Tribolium castaneum: one gene and its partner. Each later gene encodes a partner of the first gene's protein in a complex. Links are inferred from orthologs where the notes say so. Each region holds a gene or a part of one and is shown on either strand. Other genes may lie near its edges.

Region 1 (4,919 bases):
AGGTTTTTATCTTTTAAATAATAATTAATTAATAATTAAACAATAATTAATAGTCTATTATGAAATTTTAGTAAAACTGTCAAAACAAATTTTACAATATCGATAACAATGTATCGTATGTATGTAATCGTAGATTTTTGAAATTTTTTAACGATTACTGAACTGATCAGCTGGAATCATTGTTATTGGTTGCATATTAATCTTTCATTTAAGCCACTAAACATAAGTTCTTAACGTCAGAAGTCAGTCTATTCTGTCGCTCCTGTATACAGACTGTTCCGTTATTATTGTTACAAATTTTAACTGGTGATAGAACATTCAATTTTAAGACAAAAATTTCCTATGAACATGTATCGGAAAATACTTCGTAAGGGAGCTACACGCCCTAAACAGGGTGCTTCTTTTAGTGAGTTTTTCTCAATATTTCAGAAACTATTTTAGATAAAATTGCAAAATTTAGTACAGTCAATAATCTTTATACGCCTAATCGAATTCGAGAATCAAATGTAGATATTTTTAATCAGGGGCGTCCTAAACTGGAGGGGTGTAGAGTAAAAACTACCCAAACTATTTTGGCTTAAGTTTTTTGACACTGTGACAAAATCATAGATCATAAATTTCATGGTTTCTTACATAAAAATGGTTTCTTTATTATATTAATTTATATTAAGAAAACCTCACTACAAGAAGCAGCCCTTTCAGGGGGTGTAGCTCCCTTACGAAGTAGTTTTCGATACATGTTTCTAAGAAACTTTTGTCTTAAAATTTAATGTTCTATCACTCGTTTAAATTTGTAACAATAAAAACGAAACATCCTGTATTTGCCTAAGAAACAGATAAAATTTGGGAAACAATAATCGCTTTGTTCGCAGTAGCGATCCTGAACTAGTTCAAACATCAATCGCAGCTAATACTTATTTTTAAATAACATTAAAAAAATATGAAATAGTTATTAACGATTAGCTCTCTCATTGAAAGTACAAAGTCTGTTGAAAAGAAACTAAATAAATAAAATGCATAAGGCATTTTTGACAAATGTTCGACATTTTTCAATACGAAACGTCAGATTATTCTTAATAGTATTTGTTCAAACTTAACTTTAAATTTTTTGGGTTTATTAAATTACTTTGAACACACTGGAAAACAAATAACTGCTTTCTCTTTTAATTCTCCAAATATGATTTCGAAATCTTTAAAACAAAGAAAGTTACCGATTTTTTAAGCAAAACCAAAATTTTTCAAGGAATCTTAAATATCCCGAAAACGGTTAAAGTCAGGTATAGGAAAAGCTGATAAAAACGGCCTTTAAATAACTCAACTAATCCAAAAACGCAGTGAAAAACAGCTTTTAAAATAAGAAAGTTGATACCAACTTCTGGTATAACCGGAAGTGCCGGCATCTTAAAAATATTTTTATTGAAAAGAACTCAACCGATTATGGTTGAGTACCAACTTCCAGATGAATATCTTTATTAGAACTTTCAGTACTTCTAATGTGGAGTTTAGACGGAACATAGTGTATATCCCATTTCAGTTCATAGTAGAATTTTGCAACAGTACATTTAAATTTTTCGAAGTGATATAAAGCACAAATTGAGAGTATCATAAGAAAAGAGTTCTGTGTTAAATTAAATACCAACGACAAATTTTGGGCCAAGAATTTTTTTGTCTTGATCAATAGGGTTTTATGTATAAGAAAAATAAAACACCCGCTTTATTTACATATCAAACTTTAATTTTTACCGAAATAATTACAAGCCTTAAATTAATCTAACTAGAACTGCTTCCTTGAGAAAATCGTCGGCACCCACGGTCTCGGTTTAGCTTCCTGTTCTTTTTTCTTCGCCCCTTGTGCCTCCAAAAGCTCCATCAACTTTTTCTGTTTCTCTCGAAATGCTTCAATCGGATCGTCATATTTGCTATAATACAGTAAAACCTCTCTAACATCTTCAATATTATTATCAACTATCGTCTTCAAAAAGATCGATAAATCAACCAAAGACAAGTCCTCATCAGCCCCTTCCCATCTCCTGACTTTCAAAAGATTCTCCGGATGGAACTGCACACTATTCGGATTCCAATCCACTACAATAACTTTACTCAAATCCCGGTTCAATTTGTCCAGACTTTTGACATGGTGCCCGCCTACGAAGTGCGTCGCGTCTCTCACCAGCTTGTACGAGATGAGGTTTTTGGGGTCCATGGCCTCAATCAGGGGAAAAACCGTCATTCCTTGCTCCGCCGTGTAGACAACAATTTCGAAATGTCCATGAAGAGACTCAAGAAAGTAATCTAAACCTGGCCTCTTCTTGAACCTCCAACCAGTGTTGTAAGTCCAATCGGGGTGCACCAGAACATCGGTCAGTTCCAAGACAAGAGTATATTTAGGTTGTAAATAGGGGTACTGAAGGGGGTCTGGCAATAACTTGTCCCTGGAGGGCTCCTTAATCAACCTCCTGTAATTATCCAACTCCCGGTACGTTCTCATTAAATACTGGCGCCACAGCGGCAAGTGCGACAAGTCGTCTTCGATCACGCGCCCCTCTCTGTCTCTTTCCGGAGCCCCCAAGACAAAAATCAAGTACGAACCCAAACACGTGAAAGACACTCCGAAGAAGATTAGTGTGAGTTTCATTGTTCGCCATGACGCCTCTCGCTGTTTTCTTGCTTCTTCTTCCTCCGAATTTGCTTTCTCGTTCGTTTCTTTGGCTATGAGACTACCGAGGGGCGACTTGACCGGCTGCTTTTTTGCATCTTCGGCGTAATTCCGATGTTGAATTATGACTAGTGGTGACTTGAACAGCACTCGGGGGCCGTTCCGTGTGAGAATTAGGGAGGTTTTGTGTCGAAATAAATTACTAAACACGTTCAAAGTTCTAAAAGTAGATCTGTACATTTTGAGGTTAGGATGCAACTGTCAAACACGTTGCGGTTCAAATCGTGGGGAAAAATTCCACCGGGGGTTTTGTTACATAAAATGATAAAAACCTGCACGATGGGACTTTGCACTGGGGCTACGGAACCATTTATAATTTTTTTGGCATGGTTGAATTAAACGAAATTGTGTTGGTAGCAGTGGCACGTAGTGTGTTTTTTGTCTTTTTGAATTGAATTCAATTAAAAAAAATTCAAAAATAGTCATTTTCGATGTATTTAATTTAATTTCCTGGAAAAAGCGACTAATTTGGAAAATTAAAAAAGACAAAATTGTTTATGTATACATTTTCCAAAAAAATCTCACTTGTGAAATGAGCTACAGACTGATCCAGAAATACTGAGTCTGTTGGCAACACATTTGGAAGTATTTGTACTCATAAATTGCAACATTGCAACCGAATTCGATTTTTTTTGACAATTATTTGACGTACAACCCTACAAGATTGTTGTTAACTAGAAGAGTACTCCATTGGTATCCTTAAAAATTTAAGTCCAGTGTTGCCAACAGACTCAGTATTTCTGGATCAGTCTGTAAATCTAAAGAAAGAGATCGGTATGTTATTTTCTATTTTCGACGTTTATTGTAAACTCTTCGACGATTTAAAATTTGTCTACCTTTTTGTAAGTAGATTTTATTTTTCTACCAAAAATAAATAAAAACATAAATATTAATCAAAAAGTTTGGAAATATATTGCAAACACCCTGTATAATTTAGATCAATCCAACTTGATTAGTGCATCTAGCCTCAGTTAGACCTTGTTTAAGACCTACATACTAATAAAGTCATCAAGAAAGCATCATTTCTTATTTATTATTAATTTTTTGCAATACCTACTGTTTTGTAAGTCATCGTTCACTGACAAATATCTTTCATTGTAATCGGCACTTTTTAGTCTGCTGTAAGTTTACATCGTTACCTTGCAGTAACATTTTACTTACAGTCCGTGGGCGGTAAGTAAATGTTACATACCAACGTATGTCACATGAAAATGTTTTCCTGAAATACGTCCTACAGCATAAATAACGCCTACAAAATATCAAAAGTCCAACTTTAATATTAAATGAGATATAGAAGACGAAGCTGTGCGGGATCACCATGTATACGTGATACGTACAGTCACGATTAAAAAGAATGACACCCCTAAAAGCGTAGCCACAAATCTTTTGATATGATATGGTTAATGTGTATGTTTGGCTAGTTTATAAACCAACTGCATATTGTGCAAATTACTTGGACAGTTTTGTAAACCAAGCTGTTTGTCCAAATTCATGATTTAAAAGATTTTAGTCGTACTTTGACTATCCGGTACGGTTGATAATGGTGTCATTCTTTTTAATCGTGTTTGTGTTAATAAAAAAAACATCAAGATCACAATAATCGAAAATTTATATTAAACGTAAAATTGTTTTAGGATCCCAAATTAGCCTTCACTTTTCTCTTACGATAAGTAGTTTTAGAGATATTAGATAAAATATGGTCGAGCCTGAGAGAAAGGGAAGCAATATGTTAAGGGTTCTTTTCGTTACGTATCGTCTTAAATTATTGTAGCAACATTTTGTTTGTACACCATAAAGTTTTACAACAGATAATGGTGTTTAGCATAAGCAACCCTCACAATAAGCTGTCTTGACAAGGGTGACCCGAAAATATTTACGATACCGATTAGTTCCTCTGAAAGAGTACAACTTGTCTGCAATAAATCACACAATAAGCTTGCCTCAGTGATTAGCTTGAAGGGTCCGTGCGGTTTGGGGTAATCATAATAAAAATTTAATGGTGTACAAAGAAAACGTTGCTATAGTGGCGGTCAGCTCGATTTGCGTGTGCGTCATCAATTTCATTTTTTCATTACCAACATAAAGCTATAAAAAATTATCAAAAATAATGCAAATTTAAACAGCTAAGGGCTATCTAAGGGTGGTATCCTTGAACATTAATTTACATGTGCACTTCGACAACACCGTCAAGTGCCACGAATTT
Region 2 (5,013 bases), on another chromosome or scaffold:
CTTTTTTCGGCTAGGACTTGACTCATGTCTGCGTTTTCCTGAAACAATTCTGTTTTATTTCATGTTTTTTTGACGAAACATCCGGTCGTGGTCGTACGCGTGTTTGTAACAAAGTTGTTCAAATAATTCGAGATAAAATAAATAATAAAAGATAAGCAGCAGAGGTGAATAAAAAGGCGTTGTTCAGGCGTTTAAAACTAACAAGAGTCTTGGAGCACGTTTTTATTTATGTATTTAACTTCAAATATTGATACTTACCACTAAAATACTATAAAATTTGTGTTTACAAACAAAACAACGCACTGTAAACACCCCACCTGTTTTATCTAAGCTAATTAACCATTCAGCCTACCTGTATAGGTAGATAGGGTTGTACAAACATTACGGTGATAACCGGATAACAAATTATTTATTTTGGGCGATTGCTTTAGCTAAAGACACATTTTTGTAACATATTTGATGCCAGATGAGTAGTTGTAGTAGTTTTAATTGCCGGTCCATTCATAGAGACGTAAAAGTTCAACGAATTTGTAATTAAGTTGGACACTCCTTTTTGTGTGGCAGGCAACTAACAATACACCGCGACAGTGTGTGTTGCACCAGTTGTATATTCTTTCAAATTCCACCGTAGGAGTGTTTTTAACGCTTTTTATAGAACTTTGCGCGCTCAATTGAAACAACTGTTATACCGTAACAATATTAAAATCTAAGTCTGAACTACCAAGAACTAAAACTTTTAGTTTGATATTTTCATTTTTTTATTTGTTGAAATTATACAGCGTGCTCAAAAACTGGCGCACCAACTCAATGGTGTGTGGTAGAGAATTGGTAACATATAAAGGTAAAAATAGTAAAAAAATTCTTTGTATTAAAGTTATTGATAAATAATGGATTTTATATAAATGATATGTGGCAACGTTGTCTAATAGTCATGATCGCAATAGAATTTGAGCAACAATAAAAATAAATTATTTTTGAAACGGTTTCCTAGGAAATAATTCCCAGTGTTGGCACATCTACACATTGTGATTTTTGGATGAATTTTAATTTTTTTAAATTAAAAAAACTGCTAAAATCTGATAGTAAATTTAAAAATAATTATTCATCGTTTTGTTACGGAACGATTACCTGGTATGAAACATAAAAACATAAAAAAATAATGAAAACTAAAGAAGTTAACACAATAAGTTTGTAGCTCCAGATTTTTTAAAATATAACTTTGGGAATTTTTTCAACATTTTTCCCGTAATCTGCACTTGCTTCTCAATAACGTACCACTGAGTTGGTGCGCCAGTTTTTGAGCACCTGTAGAACTGGGAGATTAAAACATGCAACCCTCCTACGTAATAGATTTTGATGTATTCTTTACAATAGAACAAGACTATCTCGTAGCTGATTTAGTTTCGCCGTAATCAGCGTTTTAAAACAAATTTATTATAGTAGTAAAAAACTAAAACTACTCTTTTTTTTAATTTTTGATGTTAAGAAATCGCTGAAATTTTGTAAATGCCGGCCACTGTTAACGCAAATAATTCAAGCTACTTAAAACGTGAATAAATTTATTAAATAACTTACAATATTTTCGCATAATTTGGAAATGTATTTACACTTATCTACAGTCTTGGTTAAAACCAGAGGGTTAAAACGGTTTCCTGGCTCGCTACCGTTGCCTGCAGAAAAATAATGAATTAAAAATAAGCTTCGAAAAAGAATAGTTGCAATTTTTATTACATATGTAACAATGGTAGATCACAGCACAAATTATATACAAACGATAAGTTGATAGAAAGTATAAAAAAAGTGGTAAAAATCGTTTTTATAACTTTCTATATCCTACCAAAAATTGGCTTGTCCAATCTAAATAATGACAATTTATTGGTAACACAAGCGCTCTACTATGTAGATAAATTGTACTATCTATGGAAATTGTTAAAATAATTTAGTTGTCTAGCCAATCAGTACTTAAGTTAACCTAAAACCTATGTTAAAATTCGTTTCTAAAACAAACAGAATCTTACGCCGGATTGAGTGGCCTCAACTGTGTGAATTTATCTCGCGAATTCCAGAGGGCGTACAAAACAGAGGCTCCTAATCCCACAGCCCCACCTAAGCCACATTTCCTTAAGCCAGCTGTGGACTTGTACAAACAACCAGTTGCCGTGGCTGCAATAATAGTGTTAAGATCGTCATCAGCCCCCCGTGCCCACGAGAGGAAAACGCCAAACGCTGAATAAATCACAGCTATGGACCCGAACGTGTTGGCTGTGGCACTGCCTTGTTTCATAACATGATTCAATAACCTACAATTACAATCAGTGAAAAACACTACCAATTGAAGAAACTCACTGTGTCCGTCTTAATTTCCCCGTTTGTCCTGCCAAAGTGGTCGCTTTCAAGCCGTTATAAAACCCGGAGGCGCCCCCCACCGAGGCCCCAATCATGCAAGAGCCCCCGATTTGGCCAAAGGCTAGCTCGAATCGCCCCCGTTGTTTGCTAGCCCCTTCGAGGAAGATGAACTCGGGTTGGGCTTGAGGCAGGTAACTGGGGTCAAAGTTGAGGTATGGTGACGAGAATTGTTTGTAAGATCCTGGAATTGGGTTTATATAATCGGGGTTTGAGGTTATGTCGGGGTTTTTACCTAAATTGCCGCTTGTGGTGTTGTAATTTTGGGAATAAATGTCGGTATCATTCAAGGCTGACATTTTTTGAGCACTGACACAGGAAATTTTCGAGTTTTTGGCCGAAATTTGGTAATTTGATTGTTACACACACACACATGCGACACGAAGGTCGAGAAAATGTCGGAAGGGGTAAATACAGGACGGATCTTGAGGGGATAAAGAAAAATTTTCGCGCATAAAATGGTTACTTTTTGTTGCTCATACTTGCAGTATTCGTGTTTTTTTTTTAATTACGGCCGTTTAGTTGAAATTTGGGGTAAAATAATTTTGGAAACCTACTCACAGGACGCAATCATTGTTTCTTTGGTAGAATCGGTTAAATCTAGAAATGTCATAAACAGAAACATATTTGTCGGATTTTTAGGAGCAGAAATTTTTAGTCTACTATTATTAAATTACCTCTATTAAAAATGGACTTCTCATGACTAACATTTTAATAAAAAAAGAGCATTTAATCGTTTATAATTTAATATAGGAACTCAATTTATACTACAGCACAAATTTATTTTGTGAGGCATTACATGCAAGTATGTAATATGTGCTTGACAGGTGACTGTTAGAAATGTAATACACGTAAACTTATATTTGAATTGGTGCAATCTCTATCACAGTGGCATATTATCTAAAACTTAGTAACAAATAAAATACTGGTTAATGATTTTTTTATATTCTTACAATTTTAAACAAATATCGAATATATTACTATTCCGTGCATTTTTTGTAATGAGGATGTGCGTTTTTAATAATTTACGGTTACGTCTTTCTTGTGCGTTTCTGTCTATGACTTGTTCAATGAGTGCACTTTTCTTGAGAGTAAAAACAGGACAGATCTTGTACTGCAAAGCTGAATTTTCGTACACGAATCTTTGCTGTTTGTACTTCCAACATTTAGATTTTTAATATTGCGGCCACTTAGTAAAAATTTAAGTTAAAATAATTTCGGCAAACTAATCACAGGACGTAAGCATTGTCACGAAATTGTAAAAATTAATTGAACTTTTTGAACGTTTGGACCTTTGGACGTAAATCAATCACAAATTATCTTGTAATTATGGCGAGACTTTATCGAGCTATTTTTAATTTTCAATCAGGTATTTAAAATTTGTTGACATGTGTCAAAATGCGACAGTTTGGCGGTTGGTGTAAGGGGCTATAACACCGAAAACATTTAACTGATCGAATTTTTGATGAGTTCAACTAATAATTTGTCGGATAAAAAGCCGCTATTTGGCATAAGCGTGTCAAGTTTCAAAATGCACACCGAGACATCTTCAAATTTTTCCGGGCGGCTGCAGCCCCACCAAGATGAGCTCCAATTATTAGGCGAATTGGCAGGTGTTCACATGGATGTAAAAGTTTTCAGGTATTTTTTCCTGAAACCTGAAATATCAACAAACCAGTAATCGTCAACATGTTGTAGGATTTTGGTCGAATTCTTGAACTTGGGGGTAGCCCCGAATACGATTTTTTCGGTCTTGAAGAGCATAAGGCGGTCGCCGTCAAGACGGCTATCACATTCGGCACATCACTGACTTGTAAATTTAATAATAAAAAAATTGAGCTGAGGTGTTTGTTTGGTGTCCGCTGGTTTAAAAATGACGTTTGACAAGTGACAGGTGATTGAAATGGGGGTTGAGGGAACGCAATTTTTTTTCATTTAGGTCTTGTTTTCTGTTGTTTTAATGAAATTGCTCAGTTGTTTGTGCTGTGATTGACAATTCGTTGCAAACCGTGTGTTTAAGTGGGAAAATGTCAGTTGAGGAAGAAGTGGAATTGCGAGACATGGTGGCTCAAACCCTCGAATTAAACGGTTGCCTCCCGAAAATACGAGTATTTAACAATGCCAAATTTGTTTCCTCTTCTTTATTAGTCTTATTTCAGGCACAGTTGAGAGCGAACCTATTTCTTGCCTTAGACGAAGATTCTAAAGTAATTCCAAGAAACCAACAGTCTCACACGATAATATATCGTTTGTTTCAGATAAGTAAGCAACAGCCATTGTTAAACACAAAAATCAAGTCATACTTAGAAGTGCCAGAAGGTCAGCTCATGTTTTGTCTCGTTAGAGAGTTCCTTGAATATTTTGACCTCGATTTCACTGCGTCTGTTTACGAGCCTGAATCATACGTTGGCAGCTTTTACAAGTACGAAGGACGCGACAAAATCATCGAAGATTTGGGCTTAAAACCGTCAGACAGTTTTTCCGGTCCTGTCCTCCAACACTTGCTTAAAGTTGCTCAAATCAAGTCAAAAACGCTGAAAATCAATTTGAATGTTAACGACGAACTGAAGGAAACTAACGGACACGACTCTGAAGCTGAAAACTCCATCC

Evidence for each region.
Region 2: mitochondrial import inner membrane translocase subunit TIM50-C (region 1) and mitochondrial import inner membrane translocase subunit Tim23 share a complex: the UniProt entries of both Homo sapiens proteins name them as parts of the TIM23 complex. The link is inferred for Tribolium castaneum from reciprocal best matches to the Homo sapiens genes TIMM50 and TIMM23.

What each region holds. Positions count from the first base shown.
Region 1 is NC_087399.1:10,215,903-10,220,821, forward strand, and holds mitochondrial import inner membrane translocase subunit TIM50-C, read right to left. Parts: upstream 3,071-4,919; 5' UTR 2,897-3,070; coding exon 1,775-2,896; 3' UTR 1,714-1,774; downstream 1-1,713. UniProt on the Homo sapiens protein: Essential component of the TIM23 complex, a complex that mediates the translocation of transit peptide-containing proteins across the mitochondrial inner membrane. Has some phosphatase activity in vitro; however such activity may not be relevant in vivo.
Region 2 is NC_087394.1:25,693,844-25,698,856, forward strand, and holds mitochondrial import inner membrane translocase subunit Tim23, read right to left. Parts: upstream 2,826-5,013; 5' UTR 2,703-2,825; coding exon 2,639-2,702; intron 2,588-2,638; coding exon 2,347-2,587; intron 2,301-2,346; coding exon 2,019-2,300; intron 1,973-2,018; coding exon of another isoform or gene 1,963-1,972; exon of another isoform or gene 1,701-1,962; intron 1,671-1,700; coding exon 1,661-1,670; 3' UTR 1,543-1,660; downstream 1-1,542. Other genes in the region: uncharacterized protein LOC660630, read right to left, coding at 1-38, 353-382; centrosomal protein 43, read left to right, coding at 4,431-4,511, 4,563-4,610, 4,662-5,013. UniProt on the Homo sapiens protein: Essential component of the TIM23 complex, a complex that mediates the translocation of transit peptide-containing proteins across the mitochondrial inner membrane.